Linked DNA regions of Arabidopsis thaliana. The protein of the gene in region 2 purifies or fractionates together with the protein of the main gene of each other region. This does not show direct contact. Each region holds a gene or a part of one and is shown on either strand. Other genes may lie near its edges. The genes, in order: NUDT3 and PIP.

The links.
Region 1: the proteins of PIP (region 2) and NUDT3 fractionate together in Arabidopsis thaliana (co-fractionation; one large-scale study listed by BioGRID). This does not show direct contact.

The regions. Positions count from the first base shown.
Region 1 is NC_003070.9:29,983,390-29,991,004, forward strand, and holds NUDT3 (nudix hydrolase homolog 3), read left to right. Parts: upstream 1-1,656; 5' UTR 1,657-1,970; coding exon 1,971-2,035; intron 2,036-2,387; coding exon 2,388-2,567; intron 2,568-2,639; coding exon 2,640-2,717; intron 2,718-2,909; coding exon 2,910-3,006; intron 3,007-3,093; coding exon 3,094-3,227; intron 3,228-3,400; coding exon 3,401-3,482; intron 3,483-3,596; coding exon 3,597-3,683; intron 3,684-3,772; coding exon 3,773-3,879; intron 3,880-4,081; coding exon 4,082-4,253; intron 4,254-4,338; coding exon 4,339-4,586; intron 4,587-4,688; coding exon 4,689-4,770; intron 4,771-4,949; coding exon 4,950-5,015; intron 5,016-5,150; coding exon 5,151-5,228; intron 5,229-5,329; coding exon 5,330-5,425; intron 5,426-5,515; coding exon 5,516-5,622; intron 5,623-5,701; coding exon 5,702-5,870; intron 5,871-5,970; coding exon 5,971-6,054; intron 6,055-6,128; coding exon 6,129-6,223; intron 6,224-6,303; coding exon 6,304-6,394; intron 6,395-6,479; and 5 more. Other genes in the region: WRI4 (Integrase-type DNA-binding superfamily protein), read right to left, coding at 7,051-7,436. UniProt on the Arabidopsis thaliana protein: Probably mediates the hydrolysis of some nucleoside diphosphate derivatives.
Region 2 is NC_003071.7:6,040,574-6,045,647, forward strand, and holds PIP (proline iminopeptidase), read right to left. Parts: upstream 3,402-5,074; 5' UTR 3,297-3,401; coding exon 3,203-3,296; exon of another isoform or gene 2,962-3,202; coding exon 2,765-2,961; intron 2,675-2,764; coding exon 2,576-2,674; intron 2,487-2,575; coding exon 2,376-2,486; intron 2,298-2,375; coding exon 2,235-2,297; intron 2,102-2,234; coding exon 2,008-2,101; intron 1,915-2,007; coding exon 1,814-1,914; intron 1,651-1,813; coding exon 1,549-1,650; intron 1,453-1,548; coding exon 1,339-1,452; intron 1,275-1,338; coding exon of another isoform or gene 1,124-1,274; coding exon 1,049-1,123; intron 961-1,048; coding exon 868-960; 3' UTR 573-867; downstream 1-572. Other genes in the region: AT2G14255 (Ankyrin repeat family protein with DHHC zinc finger domain-containing protein), read left to right, coding at 1-53, 143-319; AT2G14265 (uncharacterized protein), read right to left, coding at 3,760-3,818, 3,954-4,011, 4,155-4,211, 4,355-4,456, 4,509-4,568; AT2G14270 (Cytochrome C oxidase polypeptide VIB family protein), read left to right, coding at 5,006-5,074. UniProt on the Arabidopsis thaliana protein: Specifically catalyzes the removal of N-terminal proline residues from peptides.

The DNA.
Region 1 (7,615 bases), on a different chromosome or scaffold from region 2:
AATAAGCTAAAAGACAAAAAATATGTCAAATACCATTTTACCTTTTACTTTATATGAAAAAATATGGGTCAAACTTTTTATATTATTTAACTATTTAGAACTATTTTTATTATATTATAGTTATTTTTTTTTTCATATTCATCTTTTTGAATTTTATAAAAATAAATTATTTTTAAAAAATAATTTCTTCTTCCAAAAACAAGATGATTTATATGTTTTTAATTATAATTCTCGTACACCAGCATTAAAACATAGTTTTGTACACTAACACTTATACACCAAATCATTTTATACATATCTTCTAAAATATTTCTATTTATCTCATATTTATAAAATAAAATAATAATTGTTCATAAATTAATAAAAATATAATGGTGTACACCATCATGTATACTATTAAATTAACCATAATGGTGTATACCATTAAATGAAAGTAATGATTATACATTTTTACTTATGTACACTAACATTTGTACACTTTTATGTACACTAATCTCATATTATTATTATTTAAACTTTGTTTTGTATATTATCACTTGACAAAAATGGTTTTATCTTTTGAATATGAGGTGTACACAATAGGTGAAGGTGTACGATATTATATACGGTGTACAAGGTGATTTATGGTTTGATTTATTATCTCATTATTGCATGTATACTATTAATATCATGTACACCATATTTTACATTTTCGTACACCATCTTATTATGTAGTTATACATCATTGTATATTATCGTTTGTACATCACTTTGTACACTGTCTATACCGTATACCACTTCTTAGATCATTAAGAAACAAAAGTTATTTTTGACTTTATTTGACTATATGACAAAACAACAGAAGGCTATAAAGGTCATTCACTAAAATCTCTATTAGATAGAAAATTGTATTAGAAAGGAAAGAGAAAAGTGTCTATTCTCCCTATTTCTAAAAAAACTACTTACTTTGCAAATTATTTGTGAAAAAAGTGTCTAGTTTCCAACTTATCTCTATTGTTTTCTGCTACAATATTTAATAAATCGTACTTTCTCCTATACCTAAATCAACACGGCCTTTATTTGTTAGAGTATCTCCATGGGATAGATACCCTTGCTAGTTTCTCAACAAAAGAAAAAATTATTATTTTAATTATATAATATATTTTGTTTCAATTATAATACTTAAACTAATATTTGATTGACATGCCGCGATTTAGGCTGAGAATCGTTTCTCCTTGATTCTCAAGTGAGAAACTCTTCTTCCACTCTCTCTTACTTTTTTACTTTTGGGTTATTATTTTATTATTAAGTTTCTCATTCAGAAATGATGAAGATGGCCTTACGTTTACATTTTAAAACAAAGAAGCATGTAGTACTTTTGAATATTGTTTCTCACCATTATTGTACTTGTGGAAAACACAAAAGTAGTTGTTGTTACTTTCATCACTCTATGAGCAATAAAAATGCAGTCCTCGATGAAAATGTGGCTAAGAAATGTTAGGGAAATGATCCAAAAACCTTTTTGACTAACTCGTTTTGACCTGTCATTACTATTATTACATAGTTATCTCATTTTTGGTCTCTATTGCAAGAATCATGAAATCTTCTTATAAGAGACTTTGGTATTACCCACAAAACAACTTAATAATTTTACCTTTTGATATTATATAATCCACACAACTAACATGAACTAACTGCTGACATAATCGTCTTAACATTAAAAAAAAATGAAATGAATGCATGCATTGCATATAAATGTACAAATGTTGGCTTGATCTCTTGACCCCTACCTAAGACGTAAGAAGGTATTTTAGAGCTGTGAAATGTGTCAAGCTGAGTCTCGGAGTGAAAAGGGTCCGGTTTAGTGAAGCCAAGTAAGCAAAGCCCCTTGTTTTTGACGGACATTATATCTCCTCCTCTTCTCTTCTATAAATTGGGCACCTTTTTCCAATTTTACGCACAGTCACGGAGATAGATAGTAAGAGAGAGCTATGGCGGAGGAGCACTTCGACGTTCTGACTAAATCCGGTGAGAAGACCGGTGTGTCCAAACCCAGGCATGTTTATTGTTCATGTGTTTTCCCTTTTCTTGTTTGATGAAAAGTACTCGGAAATCGAATTCGTACGCTGAGATGTTTGCACATTGAAATTTTACGTCTTTGTTGGAAAAAGTCATCCTTTTCTTAGGTTTGGGGTTTGATTTGATGCTTCGTTGACCCTATCAACTACACAACAAACTCGACCAAAGAGTTTTAGGTCAATCGGAGAAATTTCAATTCGATTTTGGTTTTAAAAAAAGTTTAAGCTGAAAAATTTGGGATTTTTTTCTTCATGATCAGCTCTTCTTTGGAGTTGTTTTTCCAGTGAATTAACCTCAATTCGTCTCTGTTTGGAACCATGTCATTGTAGGGGAGAGGTTCACAGAGATGGAGATTACCATCGTGCTGTTCATGTCTGGATTTTTGTGGAGACTACTCAACAGCTACTTCTCCAACTTCGATCTGATGATAAAGATTCTTGGCCTGGTCAATGGGACATCTCTAGTGCTGGCCATATATCAGCTGGTGATACATCGCTTCTATCTGCACAGTAAGTCAATCCCATTCTGCTTTCGTTACTTCTTCTTTCCGTTTACTAAAGATTTCAGGATACTTTCTGTAGGCGGGAGCTTGAGGAAGAGCTTGGCGTAAAACTCCCAAAGGATGCATTTGAAAAGATCTTCGTTTTTCTGCAGGAATGGTTTGTCTCTTGGCCTATATGATACATGTTCTCTGATTCTTTCAAGAGACATTATTTGTAGCTTAGTTTGATTGGTATATCTTGAAGCTAACTTGCTTTCGCTTATTTAAATAAGCATTGTAATTTATTACTCTCAACTTGAGAGGTATTCTTAAAGACAGTGTGCTGCTTTTCTTTTGTGTACTTTGACAGTGTCACAAACGATGGCAAATTCATAAATAATGAGTTCAATGATGTGTATCTTGTTACTATTCTGCATCCAATCCCATTAGAAGCCTTTACTCTTCAAGTGAGTTTTTTTCCTTCACGAAGCTGTAAGTTTAAGTAGTATAAATCACTTGGATTCTTAAGTAACATTTTTTTATGTATGTATTAGAAAGAGGAAGTCTCTGCTGTAAAGTACGTACCTTACGAAGAATACAGAAACTTTCTGTCTAAGGAAGATCCTGCTTATGTGCCATATGATGTTAATGGAGAGTATGGAAAACTATTTGACATAATCAGACAGAGGTACAGTATCTCTATTTCGGTTTTTCTCCTAGCTATTCCTTTTTTTTTCTTGTTCATATCTAATATCTTCCATGGTACCAAATGAAAACTTTTATGAGTCAACTATTGCTGAGGTACATATTTTATATAGATATGTTTTCTTACATAGAGTGTTTCTTCTGAATTTGTTGAAGGTGCCAAGTGAACACTGAGGCCCGTAGTTTATCTCTGCAGAAGCAACTCCAGAGATATTCTCCAGTCACCCTCGAAGCCAAGGTATTAATTTGTTACATCTTTTCTTGTGATTTCTTTGTTTCATATGCACCAAATAAATCTTATTTTGCACCGTTCCATAAAAGACATTTTGAGACACCTTTCATTTATATGCAGTTGACAGAACTTTCTGAAGCAGATCAGAAAGCGTTGGGTCTAATTGTGAAGGCTGCAAAAATTATGGACGATATATTCTATGAGCAGGTTCTGTGGAGTCCGAAATTTCTTCTTTTTTTGACCGTGAACATGAAATCTCAGATCTTAAACTAAATTAGAAAGTTATCCTTTATCAGGTTTGGAACAGCAATCCAGCCCTAAGAGATTGGCTGAAGGATCATGCCAATGCATCAAAACTGGACAAACTAAAATGGGATTACTTCACGATCAACAAAAGTCCATGGTGATTATCATCAAAGTTACTTTGTTCTAACATTTATGTTCTACGGAAAGGGTTAGGATTCATCAACGGAGCTGTTGCAGAATTTAATTAAAGTTGCAAAAGATTTTTGTCTTGAATATAATTCGTTAACATATTGGTGTGTCAATCTCATGACGATTAGGAGAGATGATCCAAGAGATTGACGTTCGTATTTTATTTGCAGGTCGTCTCTTGATGAAAATGAAGCATTCTTGAGTACTGCGGATTCAGCTGTAAAGTTGCTTCCTGGAGCAACAAAAGCCATAGCTGGCTGGAAGGGTCTTGAATATAGAGCAGCCTTTCCAGTGACTAAACCACCTGGTGCCAATTTCTATCCTCCCGATATGGATAAAATGGTATTCACACATGTTTGATGTGTCTTTACCAATTCCTTTTCTGTTCCCATTACTCGTAGTAAGAAATGTGTATCTAAAATTATAGGAGTTCACCTTATGGCTCAATGGCCTTACGGAAGAGCAAAAGCATGCTGCAACAGGATTTTTCAGTGTTATAAAAAGGCGAAGTGAAGCTAATTTAGATGCTTCTGATCATCTTGCCAGCAGCACAAAGAAGTTACCAGACTCTAATTCCGATCTGTATAGTATTCCTTATTCAGAGATATATCGACCTTTCCTCAAGAAAGCTTCTGAATTCTTGCAGAAAGCTGGGGACTTGGTCAGTTCGCCAAGGTATATATTTCAAACAGTTTCTTACCCTTACCATATAAAATGTATTCACCCATTCGATTGGCTTAGTATATTGAAGTATTCACCCACAATGCTTTCTCATAGTTTGAAGAAGCTACTGCACAGCAAAGCTGAAGCCTTCCTTTCAAATGAGTATTATGAGTCAGACATCGCATGGATGGACTTGGTAACTCTTCTCTGTTCATACATGGTCTTCTAGTCTTCTGTAATTTTCCTTCCTTATAAAAGAGGATAGCTCTTGTAAGACGAGCTCTGGCTATTTTAATGGTCCGTAATTTTCTGTCACATATCAGTCATGCATTATAGTTTTGAGTAACTTTTGCTTTGTCTTATCATCTTTTGTAGGATTCAAAGTTAGATATTACCATTGGTCCATATGAGACGTACGAGGATGAAATCTTTGGGTATAAGGTAAGACTTTACATAAGCATGTGCTTTCGCAATGATTTGCTTATGCTGATGCTCATCCTCGTCTTCACATAACCTTCATAAATTGCAACTCCCTTTAACCATTACTCTCTAATCTGTATTTGTTTTCCGTCTAAGGCTACATTTGAAACCTTCATCGGTATTCGAGATGATAAAGCCACAGCTGATCTGAAACTCTTTGGTGACAATCTAAAGGTACTGCTCTCTTCGTAGCTGCTGTCAATCAAAGTTGCATTTCTTTACGTTTTCAATTTTCTTTTCTCTAAGATCATTTTTCATTTTCTACTTTCCGGTAGCTATTGGAAGATAATCTCCCGCTTGAGAGTGTATACAAATCGACAGATGTATCTGCTGCTCCTATTCGGGTCATCCAGTTAATTTACAATTCCGGGGTAAGTTCCCCTCGGCATCCATCTGAGATAGGAAAAGGAAGAAAATGTATTGCCGTTATTCATGGTTCACTTGTTTCTTGATTGTGACAGGATGTGAAGGGTCCTCAGACTGTTGCTTACAATTTGCCAAACGATGAAAAAATCGTGAAGGATAGAGGAACATCAATGGTTATGCTCAAGAACGTCCAAGAGGCAAAGTAATGTCCCTTCTTCCTCCATATTTCATCAATAAACGGTGTCATAATTACATCTAACTAATGCTTTTTTCTTTTCTAGGTTTGAACATATTTTAAAGCCTATAGCTGAAATCACCATCAGCAAGGAACAGAGAGGATTAGTTGATTTTGATTCTTTCTTCACTCACACCATTTGCCATGAATGTTGCCATGGCATTGGTCCCCATACCATAACCCTTCCTGGTGGTCAAACCTCAACAGTGAGAAAGGTTATACTGCTTATTGGAAGAATGCAGACATCTAATTAAGGATTGTTTGCGCTGTGACTAGTAATTTACCTTTGTTTTCTCGGTATTTCCTTTGATCTAGGAACTACAAGAAGTCCATTCTGCAATGGAAGAAGCAAAGGCAGATATAGTTGGTCTTTGGGCACTGAAGTTTCTCATCACTAAGGTTAATGATCATATTTGCTAGTTATTGAAACTTTGTTCATATAAGTCTAATTTTCAGACAATGTAAATCAACAGGGGTTGCTTTCAAAGAGTATGGTGGAGAGTATGTATGTTTCGTTCCTAGCTGGTTGCTTTAGATCGATCCGGTTTGGTCTCACAGAAGCTCATGGGTAATGAATGATCTAGAGAATTATATAATCCGCACTCCTATATGTATAGTTCCTGACATTATTGTCTATTTTGGCCTCAGGAAAGGGCAAGCCTTGCAATTCAACTATTTATATGAAAAAGGAGCCTTCGTGTTCCACGAGGACTCTACATTCTCGGTTGATTTCGCTAAGGTATCAGTCCAAGTTTACATGAAAAACTTTCTGATTAGTCATATATCGAAACACCTCCTGAATCTTGTTATTCCGGCATGTAAAGATCGAAGGTGCAGTTGAGAGCCTGAGCCATGAGATACTAACTATTCAAGGAAAAGGTGACAAAAACGCAGCAACATTGCTTCTAAATAAGTACTGCACTATCACCGGACCATTGAAAACCGCTCTGGAGAATCTCGAACGCGTTAAGGTACAGTTTCTTTACAGGATAACAAGACCTAAATTGAGTTGAGAATTGAGATATCCATGCAGATAGAATGATCTGCGTTCATGGTTTTGTTTGTGTGTTTAGGTACCGGTGGATATATCTCCGACATTTCCATTAGCAGAAGCATTGATGAACTGAGGAAAGTTTCAGTTTCAGCAAGACTCTGGTTTTAACTTTTAATAAATAAATAAAACTCAGATGATCCATCATCATAAACCAAATTTGGGATTTAAAAGAGTTATCTGAATGGTGTTGTGTTCTTATCATAATAAAGTTGCTACCTTTACATCTTTATTCCATAGAAGAAATTTTTGAGAGCTTTAAGATAGAATGTTATCATCATCACTAAGAAATAATATTTGATGTATTGTGTAGATAATCAAAACAAAACTTGTAGAAAATACGATTAAGGTCCATAATCAAACTCGTTATAGAAGCCAGGATTTATATAAGAATTGAAACAATCGAATATTACGTCTTCCTCAGTCGCTAACTTGCCGGAATCTTGACACCCAAAATACGTCTGGATATCGTCGGGGAAGCTCCGGCGAGTTGGAATCACTTCCGGCGATGTAGATGGTTCGATTACTTCCTCTGATTTCGGAGATTTGTTATCATCCGACGATTCGGGCTCGCGACTAGGGCTTCGAATGGGCTTAGAATCGGAATCGGCTTTATCCGCGGCGGCGTTAGGGTTTAGATAACGGCTGACGTCGAAATTGGTAACGGCGTTAAGTCCACGGTACTCTATTGCCGCGATGTCGTAGGCGATTGCTGCTTCTTCTTGCGTGGCTGCACGTGCACAGGGTTTAAAATGTTACAAACAAAAAAACTTTGGTACTATACCATATTTTCATAGAACTTTCATCCCATTTGTATAAATATGGATTTTTCTTTTTTTCCTTTTTCTTAGAACAACTTTCCCAATTTGTATAAAGTGGATTTCTATCACGTATTTGCCTAATATAGTA
Region 2 (5,074 bases):
ACTTACTCATTTTCATTGCGACTATGACATTGACAATCTCACAGTCTTATATGGTAAGGAAGTCTCAGCTAAAGTAAAAATTTGGTTCTCCCTCCCCTCTGCAAATGATTGTATAACAGTTATTGTTGGTTGTCTGGTGCAGATAGCTCGGAATATTACAACCAACGAATTATGGAACGCGAAGAGATTCAGTTATTTGCGGGGACCTGACGGAAGATTCTACAACCCTTATAACCACGGCTTGCGAAGAAACTGCACCGATTTTTTGGTTCATGGCTACACCAGGGACGACGAGGTTGTCCCGTCTTCAATTCTCTGAATTTACATCTCCTCATCGCATTGTTACATGCATAAACCCTCTGATTTAGTATACTGTGTATATATATATCTCCTCTTCGATTCATATATTGCAAAGTAAGGTTCAAGTTTCTTCTCCTTTACTTGACACACCTCTTGCACTCTGTAAATCTTTTCCTTTATCACTTACCAGTTTCACCATTATGCTACTCAACACCCATAGTCTCCAATCCTCTTGATAAAAGGATTTTTATTTGACTCATATGTTTTTACCGCTGGTTTTTGTTGGGGATTTCTGCATTTAAACGGTTCAAAAAGGCCATGGTTCTAAGGTATTCGTTAGAGTCCCATTCATTGGTTACATTGGTGCTTATAGTCCGGGTTTCAAAACACTGCACCTATGTCATTGTCTTTTTCATTTGGGTATAAACGTCCATGGAAATAACATTCGGTTTCGCGTTAACAACTAACTCTGAATGTGATATTTACTTTGCAGCAACAAACTTGAAAATATGAACAAAGGTCCCAAAGAAATGAACAAAATGAGCAGCTTTCATTCCATCAAATACTTCATCCCATAAGTGCTTTCATCTTTTCATTGGCAACCACGAGTTCCGCTGATATTCCTGGCTCATTTGCCGAGTGCCCAGCATCATAAACAATCTGCAGACCGTTGGTCGCATTACGACAATAAGCAAAACTAAACTTAGGAAAGATCTTGAAGAAATCTTGGAAAAGATTTTAAACTTACCTTGAGTTCTGCCTCTGGCCATGCTTTGTGCAGATCCCAAGCAGACATCATAGGACAGCATACGTCATACCTTCCCTGTCCATTTTAATAATCCAGACCCAATCTCAATCCCATAATATATAAATGTAATGTATATAGCCAAATCAATGTTGTGTTTACAACGTGAGAAACCTAAGGCCGATGTTTTTTTCTTGTTGCATGTGTTTCCATTTCTATAACCTATCGTCTACACAACTCGGCCTCATTAGATCAATCAATTCACAATTCCAGTTCTTATATTAAGGATGTACCTGAACAATGGTGGTCTTGATATGTCGTATTTTATCAACATTGTCTAGCAAGTGTGAGTCCGACGGGAAGAAACCTTTGTTAACAAAGTAGTGATTTTCAATCCTTGCAAACGCCTGCAGCACAAAGCCAAATGGTCGTTAAGAAATCAGTATAAAGATAATGTATGAGCTTTATATAGTAACAGGTCAACGAATCCAGATAAAACTAACCAATGAAAATTTATCATCCTCTGCCTTTTGAACGTTTTCAAGATTTGGACGAAGATAAGCAGTCATCATTTCCCATTTAGTCCAAGCTCTTGCAGCTGCGTACTACAAGATCATAAGAATGCAATAATTACTACGGTAGACATTTATTAGTCCAAATTCTTTCGGCTATAAAAGCTAAAAGATGAGAGTTCAATTGCTGTAAATGCCGAAAAAGAACGATGGTCAATGCCTTTTCTCGTGTAATAGTGATTAGATCTCAACATACTTGAATTTCCAGATCATCAGAATTCAATCTTTTGTGATACGCGTCCACAAGGCTACTACCTCTCTCGTTTTCTGGAATAAGATCTCTGAACTCCTCCCAAGCTTTTAAACAAAGAAACAAACACTTAAGAAGAAGAGAATATGGAACCTACTGCACACAAAACTCCAACACAGGGATACAAGAAAGAGAATTACCATCAGGGTAAATAGCAGCAGCACCGCCCTCGTAAAACCAGTCAATCTCCTTTTTACGCAACAAAAAGATCCCTCTAAGGACCAAACCAGTAACCTTGCACCAAAAAAGTTAAAAGATGTGAAATTATAGGTAAGAAAACTACTTATTAGATCATATTCCATTCAATCAATCCCTAAACAACCATTATTATTCTCAGATGTAAGAATGTAAACATCAAGATTTGCACCTTGTCAGGGTGAGACTGACTGTATGCAAGAGCTAGAGTGCTTCCCCATGATCCTCCAAAAACCTGACAAAAACAGAGGTTCTGGCTCTTAAACCATCTCAACAACATCAAGAACCATATCTCTGGAAGAAAATCTCTCACCAGCCATTCAGGTATTTTCAAATGTTCTCTTAGTTTTTCAATATCATTCACAAGGTCCCATGTGGTGTTTTCCTCCAAACAAGCATGCGGTGTACTCTTCCCCGCACCTCTCTAGAAGAAAACAAGACAATAAAAACTTAAAGATGAATATACAAGCTGGATCAATGTATTCAAAGTGTCCACAAAATTCACAAACCGACCTGATCAAACAGAACAATCCGATAAAACTCCGGATCGAAGAATCTCCTATTACTAGGAGCCGTCCCTCCTCCCGGCCCGCCGTGAAGAAAAACAACCGGCTGCAATATGTTAATTCCCATCATACAATGGAAAAGTTAGAAACTTGAACACATGATGGTTGATTCAATAACAATGATGGTTTTACATACGTGTCCATCGGGTTTGCCTGATTGCTCCCAGTAGAGAGTGTGAACATCTGAAACCTTTAAATTTCCACTGCTATATGGCTCAATGGGAGCATAAAGGGTTCTCTTGTTCACAAACGTTTCTGCTTCATGAGGTTCCATTGTATCACTCTTCAACACCTCACTCTTACCACCGCAACTAACTTGAATCTTTCGTTGCCCTACTCAAATTCAAACAAAGCTCAATTCAGAATGATGATGATTACTAACTAACAAATGGTTTTTGAGTTACAAGTTTAAAACTTTCACATTAAGATATATCCTCAAAGGCATAAAATTGTAAAATTAGACTAATTCACAGAAACCCTAGGAGCTAAGATTAAGGATCATGAGAATGATTAGTGACATGTGACCACAAAATACTTATAAGCTTGTAGCAGAGAGAGAGAGATAGAGAGAGACCTGGGAATAAGAGATTGAGATTGTTATGGTTTGAAGGAAAGAATCGAACACAGAAGCAAGGGGCCAAAGAGAACGATGCAAGGATCAAGTTCATAGTATTTGACCCGTTTCAGCAATTTCTCAGTAATAAAAGAGACACGCGTCGGATCCTTAATTGATACCAATCGGGTCGAGATTTTTCCACCACTGTTTCAACGTATTTTCAAGATAATTTGACACGTTTAGGCATTTTTAGAAAATCTTATTTTTTTGGAAATGTTCTAATATTAGGCATTTTTAAAAAATATTTTTCGATTTAAGGCACTTTATAGGAAATAAACATTTTTTCTACTATTTTTTTTTTCTTAGATTTTTTTACTCTCAATTCAATATTTATGTTTTTAATTCTCAATTTCTCTTTCTTGTTATTCCTCTTCCACGATCCTTACCCAAAATAAATAAAATCTCTCTCTCTCTCCCTCTCTCTCTCTCTCTCTTCATGATTTGTAGCGCCTCTCTTTCTCCACGTCTCCATAACTTTTGAGAGAAGTTTCTTAAACAATTCGATCTCGATTATCTCAGGAATTTGGTAAAAGTTTTATGTCCATAAGGTCTTGGAGGTGGAGGTCTCTACAAACTGTAAGAAAAATCAACAAACAATTTTTTTGTGTCCATAATAACGAGTTCATTTAAATATATCCATTCAGAAAACTTTTACTAATTAATATTCATTCTATATACCAAGTCCATAATAACAGAAGATTCGATTAACCGTGCTTTTGTAAAGAAACCAAAGTTCCATGTCCATAAGATCTTGGAAGTGGAGGTCTCTTCAAACTGAAAGAAAAATCAACAAACAATTTTTTGGTGTCCATAATAACGAGTCCATTTAAATATATCCATTCAGAAACCTTTCTACTGATCTATATTCATTCTATATACCCTATCAATAATAACAGGAGATTTGATTAACCGTGTTTTGTAAAGAAACTAAAGTTCCATGTCCATAAGGTTTTGAAGGTAGAGGTCTCTACAAACCGAAAGAAAAATCAACAAACAATTTTTTGGTGTCCATAATAACGAGTCCATTTAAATATATCCATTCGGAAACCTTTTTACTGATCTATATCCATTATGTATACCATGTCCATAATAACAGGAAATTTGATTAACCGGAATCTCGATGCTACATAGGTGAAACGAGTTTGACACATGAGAGAGAGCAGAAATCAATTCAAGTCGCCATTGTTGAAGAAGAAGAAGTTTCTTAGATAACTAAATCTCAAATTTATGTCAAAACAAATATTTAAATTGCAAAATAAATCACAATCTTAAAGAAACCAAGACCTCGTATTCTCCAATTAGTCAAGAGAGAAGAGAAAGCCATCGCGTAGAGTGGATTTGGAGATTAATTGCAGATTTGGAATTGAAGATATTCTGGGAAAGGTTTTTTTCTTCGATAAAGTGAGAAAAAAAAAAAGAAAAAAAAAAGAAGAGATGGGAAAAGGAGAGAGAAGAGATAGCCGATTGAAAAAATGTAGTTAAAGAGTAAATAAATAAAATAATTTATTTAAAGTGCCTTCTCCATTTAAAGTGCTTTCTCTATTTAAAGTGCATAATTATGAACTAACTTTTAAAAAAGTGTCTAATCACGTAATATTCTCTTTTTTTTTTAGGCACTTTTCAGGGATGAGACATTTTCTCTTGTTTCTGGATGATAAAATGATAATTATATCCTTTTCAAACTAAACCATCAATTGCTTAACCGGTTAACATGGTTTTGTTTGAATTGATATCTAATAAAACGACAGTTGAGATTTGCAGATGAGAAAGAGTTACCTTCACAATTACAGGTCTTCCGATTATCTCACAATCTCGATGTTGATGGCTGAT